Linked DNA regions of Lepisosteus oculatus. The protein of the gene in region 3 interacts with the protein of the main gene of each other region in a biochemical or structural test. Links are inferred from orthologs where the notes say so. Each region holds a gene or a part of one and is shown on either strand. Other genes may lie near its edges. The genes, in order: cited2, BTB/POZ domain-containing protein kctd15 and tfap2a.

The links.
Region 1: the proteins of tfap2a (region 3) and cited2 form a complex in vitro, tested with the Homo sapiens proteins (2 studies listed by BioGRID, with this or other methods). The link is inferred for Lepisosteus oculatus from reciprocal best matches to the Homo sapiens genes TFAP2A and CITED2.
Region 2: the proteins of tfap2a (region 3) and BTB/POZ domain-containing protein kctd15 form a complex in vitro, tested with the Homo sapiens proteins (2 studies listed by BioGRID, with this or other methods). The link is inferred for Lepisosteus oculatus from reciprocal best matches to the Homo sapiens genes TFAP2A and KCTD15.

The regions. Positions count from the first base shown.
Region 1 is NC_090697.1:20,217,601-20,228,363, forward strand, and holds cited2 (cbp/p300-interacting transactivator 2), read left to right. Parts: upstream 1-5,389; 5' UTR 5,390-5,702; intron 5,703-6,175; exon of another isoform or gene 6,176-6,178; 5' UTR 6,179-6,184; coding exon 6,185-6,904; 3' UTR 6,905-8,723; downstream 8,724-10,763. UniProt on the Homo sapiens protein: Transcriptional coactivator of the p300/CBP-mediated transcription complex. Acts as a bridge, linking TFAP2 transcription factors and the p300/CBP transcriptional coactivator complex in order to stimulate TFAP2-mediated transcriptional activation.
Region 2 is NC_090715.1:15,300,978-15,311,849, reverse strand, and holds the start of BTB/POZ domain-containing protein kctd15, read left to right. Parts: upstream 1-6,062; 5' UTR 6,063-6,227; coding exon 6,228-6,317; intron 6,318-9,860; coding exon 9,861-10,036; intron 10,037-10,872. UniProt on the Homo sapiens protein: During embryonic development, it is involved in neural crest formation. Inhibits AP2 transcriptional activity by interaction with its activation domain.
Region 3 is NC_090701.1:3,957,822-3,968,236, reverse strand, and holds the start of tfap2a (transcription factor AP-2-alpha), read left to right. Parts: upstream 1-5,073; 5' UTR 5,074-5,458; coding exon 5,459-5,623; intron 5,624-5,665; exon of another isoform or gene 5,666-6,296; coding exon of another isoform or gene 6,297-6,323; intron 6,324-7,182; coding exon 7,183-7,602; intron 7,603-9,050; coding exon 9,051-9,102; intron 9,103-10,415.

The DNA.
Region 1 (10,763 bases), on a different chromosome or scaffold from region 3:
AAGTAACTTAGATCATTCCATTATGACAGCCAATGTTTTGAGCCCAAATCACAGGAGTGAGTCTATGGAAGATAATAACCTCTGCATCAGTGTTCCTAGCAAAAAAGACACAAACGCTTTTTTCTTAGTGCTATTCCAAATACTTTTAATTGAGAGAAACAATGTTTAAGCATACTATAATCAAAATCAAAATTCATTGGACAACAATCAAATAAAAAAAAATATATGAAGAAACAAATATGGCAACTTTAGAACACCAGAAGTACATTAAATAATGATTACAGTATTCTATACATAAAAGGCATTGTGTAACAGTTCAGAACAAAAATTCCTTTCAAGCCTATTCACTTAACGTTCATATAAATAAGTTTAAAAAAGAAATGAATACAAAGAAAGATTTCCTACATTATTTGAAGCAGCATTGTATAGTCACTAAATGTCCTTGCTATTCGTTCTTCTTCCTTCAATGATTGCAAAAGGGCTACAAAACAATGTATTTCTTCTTCTCAGACTTTTTTCAACAGTGCCCATAACTTCTGCAATGCAACACGTTTCAGACCCTTAACATCCCTTTGTGTAAAAACTTTTCTCCTGTTCTCAGTCTTAAACACATATTTCCATTTATGCCCTTTGTTTTTTATTTCACTTCAAATGCTGTTGCATGGGTTTACTTTGTCATTAGAATAAGGGAACATGAGAAAGGTTACAAACAAGAGGCTGCTATTCGGCTTGTGGTATTTGTTACTAGTAGCTAACTGATGATTGTATAACAACTGTGAGGGCTTCCATTTGTATAGTACTTTTTATTCCAAAGAATCCCTAAGCCCTTGACATATAAGAAAGGACCCACAAGTGAAGTGCAGCTCTCACCTGGGTGACACATGGCAGCCATTTTGTGCTAGCAACCCCACTACATAGTGGTTTAGGTGGAGAAGTAAGAAATTTATTAGGGAAGATGTAGTAAAGTGACATAAAATGGAGCTGTATTACCAGTTGAATTAAGGGAGAATTTTAGGGAAGCCTGATTGTTCATGCGCAGAGCTCAATTTAACCAGGACACCAGGACTAACATACCTACTTTTAGGAAAAGTGTCATGGAACTGTACGTCCCAAGTAGTTAGGAGATTGCAATGTAATGCATCTTCTAAACAATGGCACCTCCTACTGGTCCACCCACACCACTTGCAGCTGCAACATGGTTTTCCTTAGAGGTCTTCCATCACAGCTAAGTGGTAAGAATGCTGCCTTCAAGTCAAAGTCAACAACCACAAACAGGTGTTTCACTCTTCTTATCAACACAAAACAGCATAACATTGTCAGATGCAGAATTTCATCCCACCATGTCAATATCTCCTTATTTTTCTTTTCACTTTTTAAAATTGCTACTTATAAATCAGATTGGTTGTGGTTTTATGCAAACAAAGTGAATTGAAACACCAACAAAAACACACCAAGAACAGGGAAAATCAAATGAATTTACTTCATCGCAGATACTCATTTTGTGCAATGTACAGCCACAATTTATTCTTTTCAATTTTCAACTCACCGGGGTTCCACAGACAATTCACAAATCGTTCCCTCTGAAACACTTTGACAACTTTCAGGCTTCTTCTTGCTAGCTTATTTCCACTTTCATTTTCACACAAAAAAAACTTTTTTCCGTCATTGTTGCTGAAAAGGATTTTACTAATGAGCTCAGGCAACAATAACTACTACATCTTTAATCACCATTACTACTAAACATATAAAGGATACAATAAAAATTAAAAATTATAAGGTTAATCAACAGCTTGATATACTGTAGGCTAATTAATTTTAGTGTTTCTATTTCTCTACATTTGTGTAACTCTTCTACACTTCCTTACAAGATTTTCATGCATTACACCTCTAATGGGCAGTTTCTCAAAGGGATACCAGCATACTTTACATCCAGATCCAGATCTTTTGCAAATTTGAGGTACTCTGCAACCACAGTTACTTTTTAATAAACTAGCAGCAGAAGAAAGCATAAGCATGTTACTGAAACCAAGTCAGTTTGTTATATATACACTTACATAAAGCTTTTCTGGACTCTCCACTCAAAGCACTTTACAGGTAATGGGAACTCCTCTCCATCACCACCCACCTGGATGATGCGATGGCAGGCAAACATCAGCTATCAGTGGGGAGGAGAGCAGAGTAATTAAGCCAATTAATCAATGGGGATTATTAGGAGGCCATGCCTGGTAAAGGCCAAGGGGAAATTTGGCCAGGACACAAGGGTAACACCCCTACTCTTTTCGAGAAACACCCTTAAATTTTTAACAAGTACAGAGAGTCAGGACCTCGGTTTTATGTGTCATTCGAATATGCCTTTTTATACAGCATATTGTCTGCTTCACCATACTAGGGCATTAGGACCCACACAGACCACAGAGTTAGCACTCCCTACTGGTCCTACTAACACCTTTTCCAGCAACAAATAAACTTAGCTTTTCCAGGGGGTCTCCCATTCAGGTACTGGCCAGGCTCACACCTGCCTAGCTTCAGTAGGTTGCCAGTTGTGAGTTTAAGGGTGATATACCTGCAAACTTGACTGCCTTGAACTGCGTATCCTGACTTAATTCCCCTTTGTTAAAATTGTATTATATTTTCCACACCTAAAAATATACTTAGAAGTTCAATAATTCATCTACTATGACCTTGCAGTGTGTAAATAAACCCCTAAACCACTCACTGCTATACATTGTTTATGAATCAGTGGTGGAAGCACCCCTCTTCAAATCTACGCTGTTGTGTGCTGGGGCAGCAGCAGCATCATGGCAAGAGATGAAAATAGACTCCATAAACTGGCTCAGCTTTGGCTGGCTCTACTTTGGGGCTGAGCCTTGACACGCTGGAGGTGGTGGCTGAGAGGAGAATGCTGACCAAGCTCACAGCCATCATGAACAACGGCTCTCATCCGCTACATGAGACTGTTAGTAGAAACAGCGGAGCACTTTTAGTAAAAGACTGCTCCAGCTATGGTGTTCAAGGGAACGTTTCCGTAGGTCCTTCCTCCCGGCGGCTTTCAAGGTGTATATCACTGCCCTAGCCTAGGGCTGTTAGCCCTTCATCTGCTCATCTATGGACAGCATGTTGCACTAATGTACTTTTTGGACACTGCATTAATATACTGTTTATGCTGTGGTACTTTCAATCTGTATATACCTACGCACATTTTGCACATATTTTATTGTTTTACAGTTACTATTAGCATATTTTGCACACACCTAAATCTATTTTATTTTGTATTACTGTACTTATTATAATTTGTAGTCTATTCTTATGACTGTTTTTGCTTGTCTTGGGCTGGGCTGCTGTAACACCTCAATTTCCCTTTAGGATCAATAAAGTCTGATCTATCTACTACAACTTCCAGATTTGAAATTTAATAACTTGTCTCTTGTGTCTAATAAAGCAGAATCTGGAGGTAAATTTGATTTTTTTTTATTTACCCTTTGAAAAAACATCTTTACGTTTTTATTTACATTTTAACCCATGTGACTAAAAGAGAGAATAACAAAATACATAAACTATAATTTATCTTCGGTAAAAGAATTACCAGATTATTCTTAATAGAAAATTCACTGCTCTCTACCAATTTGTGTACTATATTTTAATGCAAATCAGTAGCTACTAAAGCCTGTCTACCCCGGTACACCCCTCCCTCTCTCATACTGTCCAACTCAGCACTTGAGTGTTCAGAACATGCAGACACGCTGTTTGTTCTCCGCTGTGGGTACATTCCGCACCTCACGTCTGCAGGGGAAAACATTGTTAAAAGTGTTACTTAACCCTATCTTTTCAGTTCATAGGGTCAAGTAACACTTTTAACAATGTTTCTTTTTTTTAGAAGGATAAAATAATCGCCACAAATGTACCTCTTCAACATCTTCCAAATGAAAGCCAAAGGATCAGATTATTATTGATTAAGCTCAATGGGAGCCTCCACTAAAGTGAACCGTTATGTCTGAAATGTCCTGCAATTATTTTCGCGCTACTTACTGTACACGTGTTGTACCACTGTTAATCGTATGCTGTAGTGCAGTTATTTGCAAACGATTGATCGTTACAGTGATCAGTACACGTTTAGCCTTTACTGATGTTATTACCCTACTCTTGACGTGTTATCACGTACACATATTTTATGCCTTTAAGCAAGCCAATACGGGGTAAAAGGTCACAGAGGAAACCGTCCATAGGTGGGTTAGTAAAGTGCATTCCAGGATAATCAACTACCTTCCTGGAGGGTCAATAAGGTCCCCTTTCATCCGATTTGCCACTGTTGATTAAGGCGTAGAGTGTCTCTCCAAGGGATATAAGATGTACTTATTAATCACCGTCAACATTACCGCCACGAAATGGTGTATTAAAACAATGCGGGGGTCACCTAATAAACTGCTGAGTAAAGAATAAAATTTACAGTAAAAAGTTTACAGTGTAAGAGATAATCAGTGATAATAAATTCCATGCATGTTTTGGCTTTTTTTCCAGTGTAAGTCCTTCTTGCAGCCATCACTCTGTCTTAGCATTGTGATTTTAAATAGGTGTTCCCACAGTTAATGTATTTCCAAAGTGACTCGGTTAATCACAAGCCTGATCAGGCCTCGGCAAGCCCCATAGAGGGCATGTAAAGGGAAGCCGAGCTCGCACCCTGTGGACCAGCTACGGGAATATACTGGTGTAAGTCAGTAGCCACCTCTAGGGTGAAGCTGGGAGCATTTGTGAGAAGAAACGCCTATATTGCTCCAGCTCAGATGCCAAAGCTACGGGAGCTGAACACTGTCAACTCGAGAGAGCGCACGTCTGCAAAAGGAATAGGCTGCATACAAAACGCGGAGCTGAGAAATGTCCTGCAGAGAGGGTGTTAGTGAAGGGCTCTTTATAATGTTAAATTTGGCTCTCCTCAGTCGTGGCTCATGTCAGCTCAGTTATACTTGTGTTAATGTTGTTGACGATATGTTTTCTAACAGCTCAGCTCAGCCTTTCCGGTGCTTAGTGCTTTGTTTCAGATGTTCAAAGTGTGTACGTCTTCTTCGTTTGCATGTTGACCTCTTAAAATATATAGTAATCATGGCATATTAATACATTGTAGCGTGTAAATTTTCTACATAAATTTTTTGCACCTTTAAGCAATCGCTAGCATAATTTAGCAGAAACGCATTTGGCAGTTATCTTAATGTATGTTTTTTTTCCTGATTTGCATTTAATGAGTGAGTAAGGTATAAGTAACATTCTAGTAAAAATCAAATATCGATAAGAAAAACTTGGATTCAGTGTATTTTAATCAGTTGTGCCACTTTGCCTTTTTCACCATAAACAACAGAAATTAAGATGCCATTAGGTAATGTTGCTAAATAAACTCTGCTTAACGCAGTAGACAGAAGCGTGAGACTATTCCATGTTTTTACAGGATCCTGCATCCAGATTTTTCCCTCGTCAGTTTCAAGGTTTGCCGTGGCTCCGCCCCTGTATGATTGTATATCAGCAGTGACCACAGGCGATTTGAGCAATTCTCATTTGTTGGACAGAGGTTGGGAGCGTGTGTCTATATCTGAAAGCTTTGCTGGGCTCTATGACTTGGAATACAGATTCCGTGCAGTAACTGAAATCGGTGTACTTTATCATATCGTGCGGACAGTAAAACGGGGGAAACGAAGTAAAAAGGTACAGCCCTTGAGGTAAGAACTATACAGTTTCAAATCCCTGGGGTTATATTCTCAGTAAAAACTAGCTTAATAGAAGAGTTGTTTCGTGACTGTATCGTTTTTTGTTAAAAAATATCTGTAGGTAACTTACGTGCTTTTATATTTTTTGTGCACGTCTAATGATTGCAAATTATTTCCGTTTCTTTTTGCCCTTGTTAGCAAATGAGTTAAGGTTGGGTAAACAATTCTGACAGCGTGTCTTCAATTCGGAGTTGTTATTATTAAAGAATATATGGATTACACGAATGCCTGAAAGGCAGCACCTTCACATTAACCTCAAGACTATGCCAGTCTTTTATCAGAGCAATTCACATGTGCTGCGGAGTTAGGTTTAATGAGAATGACAGTGACAATGGGAACGAGTTGGAAGTTAATGTTGTGCATGTGACGAGAGTAGTCCTCGGATTTTGTGCATCATTTTAAAACTTCGCTTTTATGTGTCATAGAAGGAAGGAATGGCTGACCGCATGATGTCCATGAACCACGGAAGATTCAGCGAATCTGCAAACGGCATTCACCCTCACCATCCCACACGCAGGATGGCGATGGGACAGTTTTCTAACCCTCTTCACCATCAGCAGCAGCAGCAGCCGCCGCCGCAGCAGCAGCAGCATGGGTACAACGGGTTAATGGGTGAACATTTGCACTACGGAGGGGGAAATGTGAACTCTAACCACGGCGTTAGACACTCTATGGGACCCGGAAATGTGACTGGTGTCCACCCTAACAGCAGCCTGGCCCCTTCTGCACGATACAGCTCGCAATATGTGGGACCCGCCGTGAGCACTCAAGGACAGCTAGCAGCAAGCATGCAATTGCAAAAGCTCAACACGCAGTATTACACCCATCACCCTCACCCCTCTCATCATCACTATATGTCAGACCTACATTCGTCAAACCACCAGATGAACGGGACAGGACAGCAATTCAGAGACTGCAACCCAAAACATAGCACCTCCAGTATGCCTCCCCCAGCGCACCATGTGCCTGCAGCAATACTGCCCCCCAATGTCATAGACACGGATTTTATTGATGAGGAGGTCTTGATGTCTTTAGTCATAGAAATGGGATTGGACCGAATAAAGGAACTGCCAGAGCTGTGGCTGGGACAAAATGAGTTTGATTTCATGACAGACTTTGTTTGCAAACAGCAACCAAGCAGAGTGAGCTGTTAGTCTCACCATAAGGACTCGTCTTACTTTTGTTTTCCTCAGAAAGACATTTATACATTCCTTTTTAACATGATTTCTTTAACCTGTGTATCAAATGGCATCAGTCTGGAATTCCAATTAATCTAAATATTCAGGGTGGATTAAGAGTTCTGCTGAATTACGTATTTTTACTGATTTAAGCCTCTAAAATTTAGAGGTCTGTGCTATGGATCATCATTTCTTCCAAGGAGAGAGGTATGACTTGTGAGTGCACTACCATTGCAAGGGACTTTTCTGGTTTGTTTCCAAGTTCATGCTATGCATTATGAGTTAATTCAACTTTGTACTTGGAAAAATGAAGAAGGTAGCACAGAAGACCCAAAAGCAAGCGGGTAGCTTCGTAGTTAACTGCACAATTGCTTTGTGCAAAGAATAAACGAAATCTTAAAAAATGCTGTGGTAGGTCAAATATTTATTTTCCTGCGTTTGTTTAAACATTTTTATAGAGGTGTTAAAGTAATATAAATTTAAATGAAGCATATACTAAATTATGTGATTATTAAACATGCTTGTAGGCAGGTACTGTGTATTTGTTAAAGACAGTAATATACTGTACAATTTAGTGGCCATATATTTATCAGATATTTGTGCTGTTAAATGATCTGTCTGATTATCAAGGGAGAAAATTGCAAGATAATGCTTTTTGCACACAAACTAGTTTGCAAAATGTCCTGTTGCTTTGATGCTGAACTAGAATCACTGATGTCGGTGCCCTGAATTTTAATTTTTCAGTTCCTGAATTTCTGTGGAAGTTTAAATAATTTGAATTGCCAAATGTTAAGGTTAGAAGAGTCAGTGTAAAGCCTAAATGGATACTGTGTCTTTAAGGGAGTAAGAAGAGACTTGTCAGGCCATGGAAAAGGATACTCTTTCTTAAAAATGTGCCACCCTCCCCCACTCTTTTATGTGAAGAGACAATAAAATGATGTGGAATGTTGACAAGTTAAGGAAGAACATTTTACAGAGGTGTTTTTTTCCCTTTTTATTTTGCATCTTTGGTTATCAAAATTTCCACCACTGTGCTTATTTAGTTTATGCGGTACAAGGCAATACTACTGTGTTGAAGCTTTCTAGGAAAGTTTGACAGTATTTTTGTACAAATTTTTTTTAGAAGAAAATGTTAATTTATTATATTTTAATTTGCAAACATAAATAAAAGCAGATAAAATGTATTCTGAAAAGAAAATGTGTAATTGCGTTTTTTCATTTAGCTTTATAGGTTAAAATCCGCTGGTAAAGAATGATTTGGGCTGGTAGACTTACATTCAGGCAAAATACAAAAACAACATTTGTAATGAAATCCTTATTTTCTTTAACTTGGTAAAGAACACGCTATGGTAAACAAAATGCAATACAGTCCTTTGTTTGACTGTTGAGTATTGGACACAGTCTAATATCTTGCGCATTTCTTAAGTGGCATTTTCTTCAGGGTTTTCCATTGGACACTGTTCTGTACAGTTTCACAATATACAACAAATTTGAGGTACTTTTACACATAAACACCAATAAATTTACAACCTTTTGTACACATAATGTATAAGAACAAATTGTCCATGAGAAGTCAGTGGAAAATTGTTGAAGTTTGTAAAATGACTAACTTAACCCATCTGGATTGCCCATAAACATGTCCGAATGTATTGAGAAAGTCTTCCTTATTGACAAAGCGTGATGAACCATGAAGTTCAACAGATAATATGAATTACAAAGCAATAGCTTTCTTTAAAATTATGTCTTAATGGGTTCAAATAAACTATAAAAACAGAAATAAAATGTAGACATTCTGGCTGGCTGTAAAGAGTCATTTCTTTCTGTTACATTTAGCACATAAGCTAGAATTTTACTTTATATTTTATAATAAATCTTACTTTTTATAAGTACAACACAATGTGATGTAAGTTGTTCAATAGCGCAAAGACAAATATACACATTAGATCTAATAAGCTATAATTTTGTTGAAACCAATGCTTTAAACTCTACAGAATGTTTTATAGATTACTTTCCAAAACTACATCCTAATACAATTGTCATAAAGAGCATAGTGTGCTCTAGAATAGTCTCAAAATGTTCAGTTATCAAAGTTTACATTATAAACAACTTTATGAAAGCAATCCATAAAACAAAAACAGGTAAACACTTTTTTTCCCCCCCTGAATCAAGGTATGTGTTGATTTTCAGAAACAGCTATTATTTAACTGGGGTTTGAGTGTCTACATACAATACATAGATGAAACTATTTCTCTCTAAAGGTTTCTAATTTTAAAACACCGCAGTCAGTGAATTAATTTAATATTGTTACAATTTTATTATTATACACCAAATTTGTTCTGGAATACAAACAACTCAGTTTTCTACTGTCAGTTTAGATGCTGACTCACTAAATGGCAAAGAGTAGAGAATCTTGTTCTGCAGCATCAGAGTAGAAAAAGATGCAAATTGATTTGTTTTAGCAGTGTTTGTCTCCACAGGGATATTCCATCCTAACTACTTTGCATACATTTACGCAGTAAATGTGAAAAAGCACCCAATACAAAATAGCTATTCTTTCTGCTAATGGCTTCAGAACTCATGTGGAATTGTGGAACTTGAGTGCTGCTACTTAAGACAGGATAATTCTCCATTAGCCAGAGCTCAGACTAATGATTTTACACTGAACTAGGTTGTATTTTTTAGATAGTGCATACCAGCAAGAAATAGTAATGCTAAATAACACATACATCTTCTGCAATCTTTGTTCAAAGGTGTCATGAAACTGAGATAAGTATTATTGGTATTGAGTGTGCAAAAGAGTTGTCATCTGCTAAACATAAGTTGAAAATAAAACAGAACTGCAAAAGATATTAGATATTAAAGCTCATTATATCTTTAAATATTAAAGGTCTCATTAAAGTGGAGGTTTTGCACTTTGAGATCCACATACAGAGTTAATTTATAATGTGTTTTTATGTGTTTGTATTTGAAATATTCTGAATATCTTTTTAAAATGTGCTTTTAAATCAAATTAATATATTGATACAGGTAGGTAATACATTAATAATAGTTGTATCATTGTTTATGTTGAATGAAGTTATTTCCTCGTTTATTGTTACATCTAAAAAAAATCCAGTTTTGCATAAATCTGCAGAAAGAAGTTTGATAGAATTACATTCTGTGTTAAAATGAGCTTTTATCAGCAGCAGGAGTTTTGTGGATGGAGGCAATTGCATTTGATAAGGTGTTGGGTTTGCTGCTAAAATGATGTAGTCATGCTTAATTAACTTGGTGTTATGTTTAATTATTTAAAGAAAATAATTCCAACAATTTACTTTCTTGCAGATGTCATTTTATTGTAATGGGAAAGGTAGTAAACAACAAACAAATGTTGCTAATGTGAGAGCTGTGTAGGACAAGGGTAATATAAAATTTGACACTCATTAAATAAAATTTAAGCTTCAATCAACACTACCTAAAAGAACCTGCTTTTGAAGAACCAACCAGAAGCCTAGTAAGTGAATGCAGTGGAAACAATATTGAAACAACCTTTGTTACATTCTTCCACTGAATTTTTTTAAGCATCTCCTGAATGGTACTTTCTGCCATCAGTTATACAAAATAAACAAAGGGACATTTAAAATCAGACATTTCATGTCACCAAGCTTTATACAGTATAGCTACCATTATGTGATAACTAGTATAGGTCAAATTGTTTGCATGAAAAGTAACTATACGCATCATTTCACTGACCTGGCAGTGGATAGTTGAAGTTGAGGAGTTAATTTGCATATACACAGGCTGTTTTAAAATGAATTATTTCAGTGTATTTATACTTGAAACAAAATGTTGACGA
Region 2 (10,872 bases), on a different chromosome or scaffold from region 3:
GAGAAAATGTTATTTCGGATGCACGAAGTCATAGAATGTGTGTAGAGTAAAAAGAGAAACTTCTTCTAGACTGAAAAAATAAGACATACAGTACAACACCCATCAAATACCCTGAGAATAGTTTCTACCAATGTTCCTGATGCAATTAAATAAATTGTCTTTATATCTTTGTATATGCTGCAATAACATGAATGGTTCTTCAAGATTATCCTCTTTTAAAGAACCTCAATAACAATTATATAGACAAGAAGAATAAAGATGCAGGAATACACCAGAGACAGGGATCAGTCATTTACAAAACCAAAAGAAGAGTAGCAAGTGAGGGGAGGCTGTTTATCCTGTTGGGATCACCACTAGCTGCCTTCTTACTGGCCCAAACATCTCACCTCCCTGTTCTTGTAACGAGCACGAGAAATACAGTACCAGCGACAGGGTCAGGCAGTCTGGTCACCTCACCTTTCCAGAGAAAAGGATTTGATCCAATAAAGCTCAAGGCTTGAGGCTTCCCACGGGAGCATTTAATGGAATCCTGGACAAGATACTGTACAGAAAATAGTGTCTGTAGCAAGTTATTTTTTTAAATATCCAGCAGAGGGAGGTCTTGTGTGACAAAGGTTATTTACAGATAAAGAAGGTAACAGGAATGAATTGATTAATGTCAAGGACTCTCTACCTCGGAACTGAAGTGTACTTACAATGAAGTTTCTTTGAGCACTTTAATTTGTGCACTTTTTTTTACCAGATGCTTTCAGATTGTAAAAGACCGAACACTTGATTTGGTTTGGTTTGGTTTATTCCAGGATACCCTGAACCTAAAAGAAGAAAATAAACAAAGACATAATTTAAAACCAAATCAAGACCCCTGCCCCTTGTGAGTCCTTTTATATCATAAACTAGTCTCAATTAATCCCATGTGAAAATGTGCATCTTGCCTCTTCACTAAGTATCTAATTAATCAATTAATAAACCACATATGTGAACCTGTATACCAGCAATACAGACCTTTACGCCATCTAGTGGCAGGTCCGCTAAAATTACTGTCCTAATTACTGCTGATCTGCCACAATGAATACCTAGATACCTAGCGTGAACCAATGAGCTTGTAGAGGGTACTTACAAAAAAGACAACAAAAAAGTGCTCATGTTGACATATCATTTCTATTTAATACAAGGTGGGGGAAATAATAAAAAGTAATCTAGTTAAAAGTGTAGAATTTAAATCAAGGGATCTTATGCCATAATTACACAGTGCACTAGTAAGACCTCATTCAAAATACTGTGAAAAAGTGTGGTCAACACATATTATGGGAAGGATATCACTGCTCTGAAATCTGTCCACAGGACAGCAACCAGATAAACCCGGGTTTTAGAAGAATATCCTACACTGACAGGCTAAAATAAAATGAGCATCAGAGCAGATGACAAGAAGATCCAGTTATTCAACGTCAACTCTGTGGGCTTCTTCAGAATCAGCAGTGGAATATGGACAAGTGGACTTGAGTGGAAACGATATGGACGTACATTTAAAACTGAGATCAGGGCAAGCTGAGATCCTTGGATTCATCATCTACTAAGATCCATACAGCTATATGTCATTAAGTGGTTTTTCAAGAGCTTCAGATCTTGGAAACAGGAGTTTGAACAGTCTGTGAAATCAGTCCAGTTGACTTTGTTGACTTGTATTTTAGTCACAGAGAGATGAAGTTTGAAATGTTTCCAAATTGGTCAAAAAAGGGTAGATGACTAGTTTCCCATGCTCTTGTTTCCCATATATGTATACTGTATGAAGAATGAATGCTTGAAGAACTATTATTTTTGAAGAATAAATGTTTTCTTCAGTTAACAACCATCTTCACCTCAAGGAGCCAGACAGTATGCCTCAGTGAGTGTTGAGATTTCACCAGAAAACTGAACGTCCTGAAAATGCACAGAAAGATTGTCTGTTGAACCTGTGGTTTAAAAACCAGTCCTTCGGGACTATGGTTCCTAGCTCTCTAGTTCAGATAGTTCAAGGCACACATTTAGAGTCTGAGATAATGGAATGTCCTTTTTCTTTGCAGGTTTGAGGCTCTCCGGGACCAGGGGTGGAGATACCTGTTATATTCTGATTTGGGCATGAAGGCATGGAGGTCCGTGCTGCTGCCTCACAGCCGTGCTACCCTCTGTGTGGAGTTTGCATGTTCTCTCAGTGATCACATGGCTTTCCCCAGGTGCTCTAGCTTCCTCCCCCCTGCCAGACACATGCTGGCCAGGCTGGCCGGTGTCTCCTAGTCGTCCCTGCATGCTCTGTGCAGGGTGTAGCTCCACCTCCTAGCTTGTCCAGTGCCGCATACAGTTCATAATTAGACAGATTGGATTGGTTAAATCTTTGCAGATACTTTCCCAGACTCTTTATAAAGCTTATACATAAAACTTAAAAAAGACTAATAACACAAGAAAGAAAAATGCGTACCGATCAAAATTCTGATGGTCTAGTAGTAATCTCACTATTTTGTTTTTGTGTAATCGCTAGCGATACCGTGGTTTAATATACATGTTTTGTTTTATTCATAACTTCTTTTAAGACGCCGGCTTATACATTTTGCCGTTATCTGAGGCTTAGGTTGATAATACAAACAATCAAGCACAACAACAACAACAACAACAACAAAAGGGCGCTGCTCAGAAAAGAGATGAAATGACGAAAATAGAACAGCACCGGCTTTCAGTCGCGTCCCATGACGCTTTTAGAATCGCTGTTAATGACACCTGCTTCGGAACCTTGGGGCAAACTTATTATTCTTATAGGGTCATACATTAATGCATACATCTCATTTGCATACATGTTCCCTCTAACAGGCCTCCCGAATGTTGATTGATTCTTTCTTCAGAGTGGCACCAGTGACTTTCTTTTAATGGAATAATAATCTAATATGTATTAGGAAGACAATTCTGTACTTTGATAGTGTTATCATCATCATCATCATCATCATAATCATCAACAACACGGTCATCAGTACTTATCCCATAATTTTAACTACAAATATGCCGTGTGTACGTCTCCGCGTAAAGACACTAACCTTACAAATGACCGTGGAAATATTTGCCGTTGGGATCGAAGTGTGTTTGGTCTGTTAATATTTGGAAGGCTACTCGAATGATTGCATTCAAAACGTTTATATATTTTAATAATCGTATCGGCTTGGTTCGCCTTCGTAAGGGATAGCCGACCTGACGAAAATACCTGGCTGAACGTGTTCTGAGGCCTTTGATTTCAACAAGGTGTAGTTAATAGCAGGCTTCTATTTATTTTTTTTAGAAACACTACAAAATTAAATAAGCTTACAGTTTAATATTCTCTTCGGATAAATATAATTAACACAACTAAATCTTTAAACAATTCCAACAAAACGCAACACAATCCGTCGTAAAATGTACGGTACGGCAATTGTGCTATTCTGCAGGTGCAAAAGACTACCCAAATTCTGTGGATATTTTTCGTTTTCTCATGAATATATCGTTTATTGATCAATAGTTATTAAGCATCTCACATAGTACGATAAATTACTTTGTAAAGTATTATAAAGGTATCATTTTGGAAAGAATTCACGAAAAATGATGATAACGCTGAACATTGCCCCGGGCTAAATTCTAGTAAAATGTGAATCTTACGAAAGTAAATTTCGTCTAGTTAAACTAACTTATTCTCTTTCCTGAAACAAATAACCCAATAGACACATTTCCAGTAGCCTATCTGACGAAGCTGTACTTGTCTTGGGTACGTTTCGGTTGACTCTAAGGTTTGTAGTAAATTGATCTAATACATAGATCACAGATTTCACTTGTGTTTCAAAATCTTGGGCTTACACAGTCTACATTCTTGATGCACAACTGGAATGTACAAATATTAGATTATGTGAAACCTATTCGTCTGCACTGTATATTTCAAAATATATATCTCTCAGCCTTTCCCCTCTGTTAAGTAAAACCCGCTCAGTGATCACCACGCAAAATTAGCAGAACAGCTGGTGTGCGGTTAACGTGTCACCAGCGTTCCTACCTGCGCTTGAAACTGGTCAAGAATACCCAATATTTGGTCTATGTTGCATGCAAATCTCTGGGCTGACCTACTTCTCCGTCTCCTCTTCACTTCAGACACTCAGCTAAAATCCATAAATTAAGGAAATTAACTGATGGGGCCCGGGGCAACTTTGTAAGCTATTTAAATCTTTAAATTTACAACATCTTCTGCATACTTCGTGTAATTGAACTAACTGCGGGGTTGTTACTTTAATGAGAATTTTTTTCCTGTCTTCCTTGTAGTTTGTACTCCAGAAGACACAACAAAATTTCGCCCCGAGGGGAAAAGGTTCCTTGCTCTATGCCAAGGAGTGGAGGGATGAGGGGATCCGGGAGTGCGCAGTTGTCTCGGGTGTATCTGGGATCGGAGGGTCGCTTTTTCCCCAATTTCCCACGTCTTGCCCTGTCCGGAAGAGTAAGAGGAAGGCGAATGCGAAGCGGGTGAAAGATGGTATCTGCCCGATGTGTTTCTTACTGCCCGTCTTTATCGGGGGAAAGGCGACTCTCGCACAGGGCGAAAGATCGATTTCAAAGCGCACTTCAAATTAATCCATCGCTACCTTCAGCTCTTAACCTTGATCTTCCTCTTTCTAGAGTGGCCGTGCGTCCTTTCGGACACTAGTAGGCGCCAGACATCAAGAAACAAACACCGAGAGCGGGAATGCAAGGGAAGGATTTGGGAATACTGTAATTATAAGGCTCAATGCAACATTCATTATTTAGAACTATTTACACGCAAATAAACAAACAGACAAATAAATAAATAAACAGCTAGCCTATGTAAGCACCTGTAAAGTGGAGAAGGGAGGGGGGGAACGATGAGATTTTTGTACAGTTCAGTGTTGTAGACAGCGCGTTAATAAATGTTCTCGTGTATTAAAAGGTTGATCTATTAGTGTTTCGTATTTAAACGCATTAGTGCATCGTTTGTGTGTGTGTCTGTGTGTTTCAATTTTACTTCAACAGAATGAATCTCAGGGTAGAAAATCTGGTTGCTCTTTGAGCTAGCAGCCTGCCTTTCTGCTCGCTTGTATAGGAAGTCTTCACGGCAGACATCTCCATCTAGCCGTGTGCTATAATTGAAATGGCGCGTTTCGCTGGAGGCAGGTTGTGAGGGCGCTTTTTGTAATAGCAGAATGCATGTCGATAGACGTCATTTGGTTTTAATGGCCTACAGGAAATTTGGCGTTACAATACGAGACATTAGCAAGCGAGAAAGGAAAGAAAAAACAGCCGCATGGAAACTGTTTATAGAGATCTGCATATTCAACATCAGCATTTCTTATATAGATACTTTATCAACAAGTTACACAGCGCTTCCATAATCGCTCTATAAGTGCAAGAGATGAGAGAAACGTGCCCTGCGTTACTTATTTGGGAACTGAAAATTTATGCCTAGTTGAAAATGCCTGGGGAAATATTACATCAGACGAAATGACAATGATTAAAATCTGCTTTTTTCTTCAGTAAGTCTATCGAGCGACGTGACAGTGGCCTGATACTTAACATTAAACCGTTATCCCCCAGCAAACCAGAACTTAAAAACCGTTATAAGGATTTATTTATTTATATTTTGGGGGAAAAGGAGGAAAAATACCAAATGACTCGGTCTAATCTTCACCGGCATCTTGGGGAAAGGAGGAAAAATATCAAATTTTCATCTTGAATTTAGCTAGGGCGCGAGTAGGGTTGAGCTAATTGTAGCCTAATCCTTGCCCCAGAGGCGTTTGGAAAGCCTAGAGCAAGAATTCTTTTTAGCTCTCCTCTGTTATTTAGAGACGGATTATATTGGCTTTCTTCTTCTCATAACAGCCCGGCAGTTTCATTTTAGCAAAAAGAAGGACAAGAAGCTAAAAAAATCGCAGCTGGGGCCAGCCGTCTGATATTAAAAGTCTAGAAATAAGAGCGGAAAAAAGGGAAGAAGAGATTTCGTCTATGTTCAAGGTAAGGACGCTGCTTGCTTCCTGTGTTGCTGTTTTCAAAGTGCCTGATCTCAACTAGTCTAGTCGACACTCTAGATCTTTAAAGCTACAGTGACCCTTTTTATAACAATGCATCAGAGCTACTTTCCTTGGTTTTTGGAGGTTTTTGGGGGCTTGTCTCTGCGAAAGAATGGGCATGAAACTCGAGGAATGCTGAAGTACTTAGTTTTATGAAACTTGGAGGAAATGTTACGGAAAGAGATAATACAGTTCTCCTGGTGGACGGATGAAATCTGGCTCGGAATTGCTTCGGACTTTCCTAAAACGTTTGAAACGGTACACACGGCTGAATAATGCACGTATAGAAAGCTCGGCTCCCTGTTTCACGGGGTGATCTGTTTTTAATTTATGAATCAAGGAGATGCATGTAGCTCACTCCCTGTCTGTATGCAATGTTAGCCAGGCGCCAGTGAGAATGAATTTTCGAACAGGCTGCTGAGGATCCTGGCTGGTAAATATCGTGTTGTGCATCCCGAACGAAACACCATGCCGAATCACCGACACGTCTGAATTTAAAGTAATATATATGGAATATGAAAACAGTATAATGTATATTTTCAAAAACGTTCCGTCGTATCAAAAACATCTTTTCTGATATGTTGGTATGTGAAAAAGACGCCATATTGTGAAATTGGCAGTATTCCCCCCTTGGGCACAAATGTATGTTCAGGGGTAATAAAATTGTGGAAGCCGTGTTTCGCTATTGTTTTAATTTTTGGTGGGCGAACATAAACTTTTACGTGTAATGTACGTTTTCCTCAAAGGTACGCAGCAGCACAGCTGGTCGAAAATAAAACTTCGATAAGCAGAAGCTCTTAATAATAAAGTCGATTTCTTTTCTGTTCTTATTATTTTAATACAACCTCCGCGTCGTAGAACCGCTCACGCAACGTGTGGTGTTTCTGTTCAAAAGTTAAGATCGATCAACACAAGCGGTTGTGTTGCAAAATCAAACTTTTAGGTGGCGTTTTTTTTTTTAAATCACGTTTCCTGAGCAGCCTACAGTCCTTAACGTGTTGCCTACAAAATTGACTTCGGCGGCCTCTCGTGTCAGTCATAAAAAGGCGATCATTTCTTTCATTACCGGTTACAGAGTGTCTGATGGTAAATAACCCGAGAATACTTCAAGCATTTAGTCAATGAGAAACCGATAATACAGACCGTCAGGGAACAGATGTTAGTGCTGATCTCATTAAAGACGAGTCAATGGTCCTTTTCGAGTTCGGATGTTTATTTTTGTCTGGGGACTCCTGAGAACACTTTAGACCGAGCGTGGAGATAAATAAATAATGTGTGTTCCAAAAGTGTGAGCAGGACTCTGCTTTATTTTCTCCGGTACACTCATTCGTGATTTATAGTTTACATCTAGGGCTGTTTAATAGCCTTATTTAGCCCCATTCATTTTTGAATTTTTCATCTTTTTTTTATCCATTTCGACCCCTCTGGCTGTCTTGCTCTATTTTCACCTAACCCTTCACCTCCTCAGCCCCTCCCTCCCTCCTCTCTCCGTCTTTCCTGTTTTTTTTCTCTCTCTCTCAGTTGGTGTGTGTGTGTATATACTTTTGTATCAGGCTTATTCCCCCAACATTAATATCAGTATTGGTTACCATGGCCCGTGGCTATATGAAGAGGTGGGATAGCTTCATACGCCCAAAAGTTCTTAAGTCTTTTGAAGTCTTTCTTTCACTGGGATGTGAAATGTATCATCCAGAGTGTGTATTAAATGAACAGTATTCCTGTAGGCTTCGTGTGTTGCGAGGCAGGCAACACCCTGGAAAATTCTGTAGTCTTTCTGCATTCTCTGCCCCGGGCATCTTGCCGTGGGCAAAAACGCTGAATGGAGCGCTAACAACAGCCTTCTGTTTACCTTTTATGGTTAAAATAACAGCCTAGCAAATGAGCGGCTTCACGGAGGAACGATTCGGTGAAATCACTCTCAAGCTGCGGTAACATAGCTCGTTTAATCACCTCTCCAAAACTGAACAACTGCGAGCACAATAGGGAAGAAAATGATTTTGTGCGCAAATGAGCGTCGCATCCCGAGACGTTAATTTCAGCGCAACATGGGTAATAGTTCTGACAACACTCTCGATATGCGCAATTAGCGCGTTAAGACCTTGGCCATCTGATTTGGGGAACCCCCCACAAAAAAATAAAATAAAGCGTGTATTAAAGGTAAAGTATTACCCGAAACGACCTATCCACACGTGGAGGGGGCGAGGGCTGCGCAAAGTTCTGACTGACGTGAGGAAAAAAGACGATACTGGGGGGTAACGCGTTCTTCAACGCGATGTATTAAAAACAAAACATCAGTAGAAAAGTTTCCGTGTGGACGTGAAACATGTTATCAACGCGTTAAAAGGGGCGCTAAGAAAAGAGCCATTTTGATCGCCCTTCCCCGTGTAGTCAGTGAAGCAGCTGGTGACTCCTCATCTGGGGTGAAGTCCCGTGTGTGATGGTGTCAGGCTCCAAGAAGCGCACAGGGGGGTGTTGCGACTGGCGCTCGGTTCACGCACCGGGTCAGACTGACAGACGTTAGAGGTGACGGATATTTACACGACATTGTCACGCCGCCCAGCGCATCTTCGATATAAAAGTGGGGACGACTATATCCGTATTCTGTGATATTTCGTTATTCGTTTATAACTCGCGGGGCAAAAAGTGATTCAAGTTTTGCCCAGAGTCGATGAAAGGTTATCGACCTGCGCTGCGGCTTTTCTCGTCCTGCTGCATCTTTCAACCTGCTTTCCGAGCCGAGCTGTGCAGGACAGGCTGACGCGAACCTCGTACCTCGCTTTCCTTAAACTCTCGTTTCAATTAACCCCCACCAGTCGCAGTTCATTTCTTATGTAGCACAGCAAACGTTTTCCTTTGCAGAAGAACTGAACTACAGGCGTTAAACGTATGTTTGACTTGCTAGCAAACCACAAGCCAGTGTGCTGAGAATGAGATATAGGCTAATTAAAATGGCATTTTGACAGTGTGGCCATATCTGAAACAGCGTAGACTTTGGTTCATCAATGCAATAGGGAGCACGTGGATAATCTATTTCATGTACAGCTGAACTTTTCTGAGTATTTAGCAATGAAAAGAAACATCTTTCAGGGATCTTTTGCCTAGTAGATTCAACATGCGAAGAGAGACATCTTCGTCATTCATTAATATATTTTATTATTAATGCTTATTTTTTCCTTGAATTATTGCGTTGTCTGCTAATTTCAGGTTACTGCTATTTTTGAAGAATTGGTTCCTAATCGAGTTTTAAGAAATGACATATCTTGGTCAACATTTGCTTTTTAAAAATATTTTGGGACATTTTGTGAGACAAACACCATTATTGAGTCCGCCTTTGGAGATAAGGAAGTCGTTAATTTCGAGGTGTCTAGTTACTGAGACAAACTTGCAAAAAGCCCCCGAATCCCAATTCACAAATTGGTTATTCGTTTGTCAGGGGATATTTCACGTCTAACACATAAGCCCACGACCTTTAATTAGAATTTTGCAGTTTGTTTTATCTCCCTGGAGGCTGACACCTAGCATTTTTCTTTCTTGATCGCTAATAAGCAACCTTCCATTCTTCCCTCCGGTAATCCGAGGAAAAGGATGCAAATACACTTAATTAGAGTTGTGGCAATAATTTGTAAGCTAAATATGCGATCAGGCAGATGTAGAAGTGATCTGATAAGAGCCAAGATCGCACTTGCTCTAAAGGTACGAGATACTGTCATTCTCGAAACGCGCCTCATTAATCTCTTTGCTTTCTCTCCCCCCCCAACACCCCTCCCCTCTTCCCTTTTTTGAACATTGGCTTGTACACAGGAAGGACGAAGCATGTCACGCTTGTCTTTGACCCGGTCTCCAGTGTCTCCTCTGGCCGCTCAGGGAATCCCGTTACCGGCTCAGCTGACGAAAGCGAACGCCCCGGTTCACATCGATGTTGGAGGACACATGTATACGAGCAGTCTGGCAACTCTCACCAAATACCCGGACTCTAGGTAAGACTCTGCTTCTCTCCTCTGATTCCCCTACCGCTCTGGTCTGCGGGAATGACGTATTTAAATGCATGGTCATCGTCAGCCTATCTATGGATCTGCTGTAGCTGGTATTATCCCTGTGACAGTTCATACAACGTTTCTTCTCGGGAACCTTAAGCTTCATTTATAGGCAGTTATCTTCACGCGAGTGCCTTTTGCTGGTGTTGCTCTTCTTTATTTTCAGTGTGCTGATAAAAGTACCCATATCAGCACATTACTAACTCAAAATAGCTGGGGTTGCATGAATCTGTTCTATAATAAAGTGGACTCATAGGCCTACCTTTATTGTCCGTAAAGGCGTCAACAATAATTTGCGTTTTCAAGTTAAGCGTCTGAGACAAGAAAGGTCCGACTTTCACTGTCGCAACTTGTCAAACGTATTAAGATCACCTTATAACGCGCCATCCCTTTATCCTTCAGCTTCCAAAATGATAGTTTACCCTCTTACTGTTAATCTACTTTAGTACACGTTCTGCTTATTTTCATCCACAATGTTTTGTGTAGAAGTACACTTTTTCACCACTTAAAATATAAAGTGAAAGAGCACAAGAAACAATCATCACCATTTGACGGAAAACGGGTGATTAAATCAGATGAGTGATTTACATACAGTATGTTGACGTTTGCCTGTGTTCTCTTCAGGAGTTCGGAGCGCTTGACTCACACTTGAACGAGATTCCTCAGTTATCACAAATTGAATAGGCGTAAGAAAGCAATACCGGGTGGCTAGCTAAAGAAAATGCATGGAGAAGTTTAAGAAAATGAGTCAATCAAATAGTTCTTTAAGGGTAACCATG
Region 3 (10,415 bases):
TGCCTGCTGAAAAACTTCATCATCCCGCCCACACGATGAGCTGATGTACATTTTTGTCGATAAATCTTCTTATCAAATTGTTATCAACAACCCGATTTTTTACATTTTTCTCAACTTCCTAAGCAACAGGAGAAAGAACAACAAGCCATCTACTCCATTAAATGAAATAGTTTTTTTTTTGCCTAAAAGTGTTTCAAATTATAATGGCTTCGCGGGACGTCTGAGAAATTAAGACATTTATAAAGCCACCGATACTGTACAGTTTCGATTTCGTACAGGTTTTCAAAGCAATAGTTGTAACATCTAAGTTTCATCGAACAACGTCGAGTTCAAAGATTTCAAAGCCCGAAAGTGCAGAGTGTAGGTCTAGAGCCTATCATACTTTATATAAATGAACCTTTATGTAAAAAAAAAACAGTTTTGTTCTCTCGTTAATAAAGATTTAGTTAATACTAAATAATTCAGTATATGTGAAAACACGCCACCACACCACAAAACAAGATAATCGGTTTGAGATTCTTAGGGATAAAAAGCGCTATATGTATGTAATGAATTGTGGTCGTAATTATTGCATCCAAAAGTACTGAAATCGATGGAGAATCCAATCGAATATATCACCAAACTCTCTGGGAAGAGTATTTTTTAAACAAATACACTCAGCTTTAAGCCGCATTTTTTTCGGGTTATTAAAAAAAAGATCCAGCTGTTGAAGGAATAAACGGAAAAGGGAGAAAGCAGCCATTTGCCAAACCAAGTCGTAACTAAATAAAACCGCGAGCAGCAGGTATAACGCTGAAGAACAAAAAAAGCTTTGCACTTCTGTCGTGCGTGCCCTTGACAAACAAACACCACGCATGTGAATTAATTGGCCGAAATCCTCATTATTTGGGGAGAACGCGGTTTGGCCCTTTTTCTCGTACTACACTCTCCGACAGAACTGCGGAGTCTTCTAAGTGGGCAACATCTGCCTTTGCCCTGGTCCCGAAAGTGCAGTTGCGTTAAGGTGACCGGTTGTGGTTCAGAGACCTTGAGGCCGACGAGCTAGAAAGTTGGTTATATTTTCTCTAATACTTCGGGAGGGGAAAAGTGTTACATGGCCGGCGGACTGCGCATGCGCCACCCAGGTAGCACCCAACTTTTTTTTTTATGACCAGGTGAGATGTTTCCGTTCAGGTGAAAGCACAAATTGTCTTTGAGATCAGAGGTTCATGGAGATCCCACGCTGCGTGATCGCCACATAGAATAAGAAGGCTAAATAATGTCAGTAATGGCAAAAATGGGAGACTGGCAGGTAGGTGTTATTGCCTTTCGGATCACTTGGAGAATAGTTGCGCACAGGTGTAATACTGTCTGAATACATCAGCGCGTCAGCAAAATATTATATATATATACGATGACTATACTCTAAAACAACTGTCTTTTCTTCTTGATATCTTATAGCAATCTTTCAGTAACTTTCCATTTTTCGCTTTTTCCTGTTGGGGAGGCGGCAAGTCGTGACTCAGTGCAGCAGATACAAAGTTAATGATTTTTTTTTTAATTCAAAAGGATTGCGGATTGCGTATGTACTCGAATTCGTATGAACTTCTCTTGAATGTGCTCTGTTGGATGCTCGAGAAGGTGAAATGCTCTGTCTTCAGACACAGTATTATGATTTCACTAACAAAAACACTGGGATGTAAATTCACGTGTGGTCGGGACCAGTTAAAGCGCACTTTCAAAAATAAACCGAAACGTTTTAACCGTTTTCTGTCTAAATTTCCTTCTAAACCCCTTCATTTGCACACAAAGAAGTTAGCCTTCCGGCTGAAGTGAATTGGTCAAAAAGATTATGAAACCATGACAAGTACAGTAAAACAAATATTTAGTTTTAAACGTGCATGAATTTAATAGTATATATCTAAATTGTTGCCCAGTAATTGTAATGTAGGCCCGTTTCATGTGCAGTCACGCAAAATCATATTAATAAGGTACAACTATAGTCTCTTTGGTGGGCTGGTAATCTTTGTGATGAAAAGCAAACGTTTTCCGTTTTAATTTTGGGAAACAAAATAGCCAATAACGTGCTTACAAAAGGGTGAACAATGAGTTCTGGAGTTATATTTCTGTTTTTTTTTTTTAATTCAGATCTAAATTCAAATACATATGTCAAATACATCTTGAACGAGGTTTCGCAGTTCTAGCAGTATTATGAAACGGGGTCAGAAATGGAAGAAAATCGACACTTCAAGTTGAAAGTCGTGAACTGTGGAACATACAAGAAAAACTTTACATTCTAGTCTTCAAAATGCAAAAGAATACTAACTAAAACGCCGAAAACTCGTACTTTGAAATATGAAAATGGATTTGGGAATAGTGTCGAACGATACTGCTAGTTTTAATTTGTGAAGACAATCGGGCATGTCGGATAAAATGAATGTGCTTTTTAATTCAATATCTGTTTGCACCATACCTTGCATTTTAGGAGTTGGCATCACGGTGTGGCATGTAATGTTATGTACGGATCTATATATGTTTCTGCGGCTTTTGGCGGCTTTGTCCCATTCTCCGCCACATACACAGTTGATCACAGTCAGTCGTGGTTTATTTAAAACACTTGTTCGTGACAGTTTAATTTTAACTTAAAGATTAAAACAAGCCTTCTCCCACCCCCGCCCCTCTTCCAACACATGGTTACTTAATTGCGGCCTTACCACTGTAGTATTGTCATCCCTTCATTAATGACAACAGGTTTTGAAGTTTAGATACTGCTCCGCCAAAAATGGTAATAAAGATTATTAGGGTCAACGCCTTAGTCTTAACTACCTGTTTCTGCGTATACAACACAGGGTGTTGCTACAGATGCGTTTAGCTGAACCCGTGATTCGCAGTTCTGCTTTCAAATTTAGAACAATCCATTTTGTTGTGTAAATGATCTAAAAACAAAAAAAAACTTCAAATGTCTCGAAGTTAAAACTCCAACCCTATGTGTCGACTTTAACATAGTCTCCTTGTTTTGCATGACACTGAGAAAGTTGCTTCTTAATTCCTGACCCTCAATAGGACTAAAACAACTCTCTTGTCATTTAAAGAAGAGAAGAATATTCAGGCATGTAGTCTGAAAGGGGACAACATCTCGTGTTTTTGTTTCGCTCAGGCTGCTGTTGGCACACTCTCTGAAGAAAATAACGTGAAAAACGTCTTAAAAACCTTACATACGCGCACGATCATTGACTTTGGCTTCCCTGATCTCATGGGCGATGGTTCGAGTGTTTTAACTCTCATACTGATCAATGTATGCGTCTTAGAAAGGGCAAAGACCCCTTACTATATTTATCTTTCCGTACTTTAATTTGCTTTCGGCTGTTGTTTCTGAACGAACTCCCATAGATAACAAAAAAGGAAAAAGGAGAAATATGAACACTATATTCCATACTTAGAACTACGAAAAACTCGAAGTAAACCTATCATTTATGTTAAATATAAGCCTGTTTACCAATGTATAAGCATAGAAAATACCCCCCAATGAGAGATTCCGCTATTTTGTCTTTAAAATGCCTTCATCTTTATTAACGCGGATAGCATACAGATACAAATAGCTAAATATGTAGTCCAGAGCCTTTTTTTAAAAAAAAAAAGCAATTGTATAATTGGTGACGGAACAAACGAATCAAGATGCAGGGGGACTTTTTTTAACTTGATTGAATTCGATTTGAGAATCTTGCCCGAGTTCTACCTGTGTCCACTGGAGACGTCTGGGTGAGAATCGAGCTGTTGTTGATATGGTAATGACGGAACGCGGGTTATTATAGGACTGAAGCTTGGACTCTTAACATTGGCCATTAGAGGGAGATCTCTGAGCGCTGACAAGGAGCTCGAGTATCAAATAATTTCAGCTGTGCAGCAGCATTTACTTTGTGAAACAAGGAAAACCCCATCTTAACTCTTAATACAACCCATGAAAATGCTTTGGAAATTAACGGATAATATTAAATACGAAGACTGTGAGGTAAGAGGTCGTTTATTGTGATATATATATATATATTTCTTCATCCTTCCAAAAAACTGAGTACATTACGCTTGTATTATTGGCAGATAAGAAGAGTTCGTGTTTCTTGGCGTGTGTGTGTTTGTTTAACTGTGTTTGGCGTTTAGTTAGAAACTTCAAGGTTTCTTGTATAAAACACATTTTGGGGAAATTGTGTTCAAAACAAAATTAGATATCATAATCTTACTTCGCACGTATCCCGGCTTCTGTAAATGGAAAAAAAGATTGTGTATGTTTGCGGGTATATACTGTATATGCACACAACAGAAACAGACTATATATAAAGAAGCATTTATATTTTGGTTAAATGTGAAGCGTTATAAAACTATTAAAAATCCGTCTTGATCAAGAATGTGTTGTCATTACATTGATCATAACGTTCTCGTGTACACTGTGTTGAAGCAAATTAGTTGAATTTTATGTTTTATTTACAACTTTTAAACAAAACGAGTCTACAATTATTATTATCATTTTCAAGAGCTATTAAGAAGTGGTGTTTAATAACAACAAGAAATTAATTCTTGACTTCCACTCCGGCTTGAGTTTATGTCTGAATGTGTGATTTGAACGATCCCGAAGTTAAACACGAAGATTCACTGATTCGAAAAACAGTTCAAAAATAATTTAATTTCATCGTAAATTTCCGAATTCCCCAAACATTTGAAAAACGTATTTCAGTCATTTATATGGCATTTTCTCGGTCGAATAAAATGTTGCACGTTTTGCCTTATTTTTAAACACTCATGCGATTTTCTGTCGGGCATTTTGGTTTCTTTATATAATAAAAATTATGAAGAATAGCCATCTCAACTGAAACTGAAAATGTTTATTTAAACACAAAAGCTATTCCCATTTCCAAAGTCCATCTCGGCTGAATTAAATCCTATTTTGTTTCGTTTCCAGCGCAGGATTATCGCTGTAGTTTTAACGAGTGGCGTTTTTGTGTGAGCAGTAAGGTCTAAGTGACTGTTATTACAACCCTATTCAGTCAGCAGATACGGAAAGTTTAGTATGTAATATTTGGGAGTTGTTTAGGAGTTGTACAGCCAGTCAAACGGGTTTACGCTAGAGCCTAGAAGACGCGATACGCCAGGAGCTGGAAGAAACAAATGTTGGATGGTTTCACTTTTACCCAGCTTGGATTCTGTTTTTTTCTCTTTTTGTCGGGGAAATAGTTCGATCTTTTTTCGACGAAAAGCTGTGTAAACGGTGTTTTCAAAGGCAGACCTGTTTGTCGGACTGTGTTTTTCAAGTCGGTTCAAGCGTTTCTAGCGCGCAAGTAGGCTCGGAAGGGAGTGGACTTTTTTTTTTTTTGGCTGTTGTTGTTGTTGCAAAAGTGAGCCGAGACGAACGAGATCTGCGGAGCGTTTTTAAACTCCGAGCCTAAATCTGTAGCAGTGCCGGCGTGTTTGGTTTTCAACGCGGCTAGCCATGGATGAATCCATCAGTGAAGCCCGGAGAACAACAGGGCGCGGACCGTCTGAAGCTGATCTCAAAACCAAGGGGACAGAGAGCGCAGGCGGCCGCTCTCCAAGCACTAAAAATGTGCCAGTCGAGGTGCCCTTAGCATTTACCGGATTTTCGCAAGACTCAGAGGTGCTCATTGTTCCCTGCCTCTTCCTCTCTCCCTGTTTTCTCCCCTCATTCTGTATTTCTTTCACTTTTGCTTGCCCTCGAACCTTTTAAAATGTTCCCCCTTCTCTGTGATTCGTCAGACGCGAGAGAATGTCCCCTCTTTTTGTCTCTCTCCCTCTCTCTCCCCCTCTCTCTCTCTCTCCATCTCTGATTAGATACACTGATTCTTCATTCAATGGACGTCATTTAGTACAGACTCTGCCTTGAGTTGCTTCCTCGCTTCACGCTCGATTTCCGACCATTCTTCCCTTATTAAGTATTCGTGTAATATTAATAGTCATGAATATCTGCTATTAGGGATCCAAGAGAGGAACCAGATCTCTGCTAATATGAGCTCAAGTGAGGCAGCAGCTCAGTGATAGAGCGGGAAGACAGAAGAAGGATATAAGAAAACTTTAAATAATAATCTGCAGGGAAACAAAATACTGCATTTCTAACCCAAATGAAGGGCGGCAGGAATTTAACCAAATTCTGATGGATTATTGTGCTTCGGAGGTGCATATATGAACATTGGCGCTGTGATCTTGCAGTAGTGTTGATCTGGGCTTATTTTGTTTGTTCTATTTATTTTTACTGCTTTATCTCGTATTTTTCTGAAATTCTTACACCTTGAATTGTTCGAACCGCTTCGCAGATGTTAGTGCACAGTTTTTCAGCGATGGTGAGTTGCATTAAAGAATATATCCCAAGACTTCGTTTGGCATTTAGACTCCTTTTGTTGGCTCTTTTTTTTTAGAATTTAGCCTCGCTTTTTAAAAAAAAACTTTTGTATTATTGTGTTTTGTAATGAAACTGATTTTTTTTCTCCGAACGTCTTCACCGCATTTTAGCATTTACGAATGGTTGTAGAATTGTTTAGAAAACCGATCTATCGAAATTGTTACTTTTCTCATACAGTATTTGGCAGTTTCGAAGTGCCTCGTCCCCTTTGTAAAGAAAATACTTAAGATTTTTTTAGAAAAATATAGAAATATTATTTGCTTATTTGTAAAGTGCAATTTCGCACGCACTTCTGCTGATATTTGTTGCAATCTTTTTATTTGTATTATTATTATTATGATTATGATGATTATTTAGTGTAGTGTTGTTATGACTGTAACTACTACGCCTGGTAATAATAGTAATAAAATAGCAGAAAAACGCTGGGACCATAAAATCTATGCAAAGCCTATCTCATATTCAGGAGTGATCTGCCAATCGTGATATATAAATATTTTAGTGTTATATAGGGTATATATTCTAATATGGGGAAAAGAGAAATTTAAAGGTCTTTCATACACTATAACCAGCCCAAAATATCCAGCTTTTCAAAAATGTCAAAACAAATCAGGACGTTAGGCACCTGAAATCTGTCTTTCTCTATTTTCAGCCCCTCTCTCTCTCTCTTTTTTTCCTGCAATTTTATCAATTGACATTCGTTCCAGAAACGACCGTCGAGGTGTACTTTATCGCGCAAGAAAGAACAGGGAGGAAAGACAAAAACCCGCAAAAACGTGTTTCTAACCGCTGTCTCCTTCCAGGATCGTCACGACGGGACCGGCAATGGGACGGCGCGGCTACCCCAGCTGGGGAGCGTGGGTCAGTCGCCTTACACCAGCGCCCCGCCGCTCTCCCACACCCCCAACTCCGACTTCCAGCCTCCGTATTTCCCCCCACCGTACCAGCCGATCTACCCCCAGTCTCAGGACCCTTACTCGCACGTCAACGACCACTACTCCCTGAACCCACTGCACGCCCAGCCTCAGCCACAGCACCCGGGCTGGCCGGGGCAGAGACAGAGCCAGGAGAGCAGCCTGCTGCATCAGCACCGCGGGCTGCCCCATCAGCTGTGTAGAGAGTACCGGAGAGAAGTCCTCCTACCGGGGGGTCACGGACTAGATTCTGGACTGACGGACTCTATCCCCATCCACGGAATACCTCATTCTTTAGAAGACGTGCAGGTAAGACGGCCCCACGCCGCGGGAGTTTGACAGAACTCCCCGAGAGCAGAGCCAGAATATCTGCAGATATCAATCGCACCCGAATCGTTATCATTTTTTTTTTTGAGCTCCTATCCAGTCGCAGGTGGGCCAGCAGCGGTCTAGGATAGATCTGCTCTGCTTCTCGAAAGTCTTTTGAGACGCATCTCCTGCATCATCCTCTCTCGTGTTATCTCACTGTACAAATAAAAGGTGTGCAGGAAACGAGAAAAGGGGGAAACCTTATTTTACGACAAAACAAAAAAGCCTGTTTTGTTGGGTTTTTTTTGGGGGGATGCAGTCCATGCCGGCGTGAAACTATGAAATATTTTATTTGCACGAAATGTAGTTCCATTGTTGAAGTGGGAAAATAGATCCTCGCATCGACTTTTCATTTCTACAAAAAAGGTTCATAATAGAGATAGCCGCATTATAATAATTGTTCAGTCTTCTTTTAGGGTATTCTTCTTTTTCTATAAAAAAAATCTGTTAGGAAACATTGTATTCATAGTGCAAAAATGCGTTTATTTCTGGGGTCGGTTCGCTGTAATCTATATCCTGAACAAATACCGGTTAACATATCGCTGCTCTTATTCAGTATTTCGCCTTCCACTTCATTGCCGGAGTCTGGCAGAATTATCATCGTGTCCTCTTTGGAGGAAAAAAAAACAAACAAACGGGCATCAAGGATTTTTTTTTTGGGGTTTGAACGAATTGAAACCTGATGGTGTTTTGCATGTGACAATTTCGCGCTTCTGCCTTTTACCGGCGATCCTGCACACTGCTTTATTCTCAGTTGAATCTTGCTCGTTCAGGAGCACGCGATCTGCAGATGAGAGCAGAGGGCACAATGATATCAGTAATAAAACAACTTTGATCCGCCAGGACTGTGTGAGAGTAGTCACAAGGACCAGAGCAGAAATTCCGAGAAGAGTGAAGCGTAGAAACAGTTGTCTGTCACACATCACGAAATTACAGGCACATCCCGTTCCTGTGGAATGTAGGCTAAGCGCTACATCACAAGACTAAAAAAAAAATCATCAGATATTGGTAAATATGCTTACCAGTTTGTAAACACGGCTATTCAGAATATCCTTTGGCCATTTTAATTTTAAATTAAAAAAGGCGCAGCCCATTCTGATGAAAATGTATAAAATATGTACTTGGAAATGTCTTGATGTAGGTAAGGAAAAACTACTTGAAAACAACAGGAATTTTAGGGGATTTCAGATAATCTCATTTTTATTATCTTTTTTTTGTTTGTTTGTTTGGTGCTTTTATATCATTTTACTTTCCGGCTGCACTGAAACCAAGCTAGAGGAAACGACATTTCGTTGAATAAGACAGTTCATACCAGCAACTGCTGTTGAATTTCATTTTTGCCTCCTTGTTTCTTCTAACGTTGTTTTTCTTCTGTAATTATGTTGCAGCATGTTGAAGATCAAGGCATTAACATCCCAGACCAAACTGTAATTAAGAAAGGTAAGTAATTTCCTTCAAAATACCTTACATGTTTCTACAAGCTGTTGTACGCTGAGCGGCTGTGGTTTATTTGAGGCTTAGTGTTATAAAATACGGGCTACACGCAGAATGACAGAAGAAGCCGAAGGCGCGCTTGGGGTTTAATGCACTTTCAGCGTTTTGCTTTTTTTCTGAAGAAAGAAATTTGCATTTTCAGTGCTGAACTCATTGGCCAATGTTGGGAGAGACGCTTCAGCTGTGGCAAAAGTGCATTTCGTTCACTGTGGAATGATGTCCATCAGATACCATGTTGTGTGATACACTTAATGACGTAACGACACGTTCAATGTAATTTAGTTTTGTTCTCAGCTTGTTTGGATTTTGCTACCGTTTCGATAGTCTTTTGTCATAGGTCCTTATTGTTAATGGGGTGCCCACTTGTTTATTTTGTAAAGAAACAGGATTCTTGCTTAATGTACAGTAGGTTACTTTTTCTTAGCACACACGCTATTAATGTAGAATTACGTATATTCCACATCTTGAAGACTGAAAGTGCATCATGCGCAGATACTACAAGAGTTTTTCGGTGTGTTCATTTCTGTGTTTGTATGTGTGAATTCAGTCATTGTTCTTAACCCCTCTGTCAGCGTGGTATGATCAGGTTTAATGTTACATCTTTCTGCATGTGGAGCCTTTGTCAAGTCAAATTAGATGTGCAGGGGATAAATCTTAAGAGATGCTCTTTCCACGTCAACATGATAATTGGCTCTTATATTAGTAATCTCAAGAGTTCGTTTAACTCCTATTGTATCTATTAGCCTCCCCTGAGCTATTAATGTCACATGTGATCTATCCAAAACTGCTAGTCCCTTTGTCTTCGGTTACCCACTGAAAATCACAGTCCCTACAAATTAAAATAATAAAAAAGGTTGTCTCCTAAAACGAAGGGTGCATATGTTTAACATGTACTACAACTGCGATAGGCCTTTGGCTTTTTAAAGACTTCTTGTACTGCACAAATAACTGTGTAAACTCTAATAAACATAATCCTGTGTCCTGAGAAATAGTTTAGTCTATTTTGACCGATTAAATTGGTCATATAGGCCTTTAAGATTTTTAAAAATAAATTAACGCATGAAACACTTTTTATCTTGCAGTATTTTGGGCTCTTTGCTAACACTAATGTGTCATGCACGTCTATTTTGTGTGCTGTTTCACGCTTAACTACATTTCAGTGGTTATTGTGTTTATGTGAGTGCTGCCTGTGGATAAAAACACGTTCCAATATTTTGATTTTTTTTAAATCCTCGACAGGCTGCATGTGTCTTTTAGTA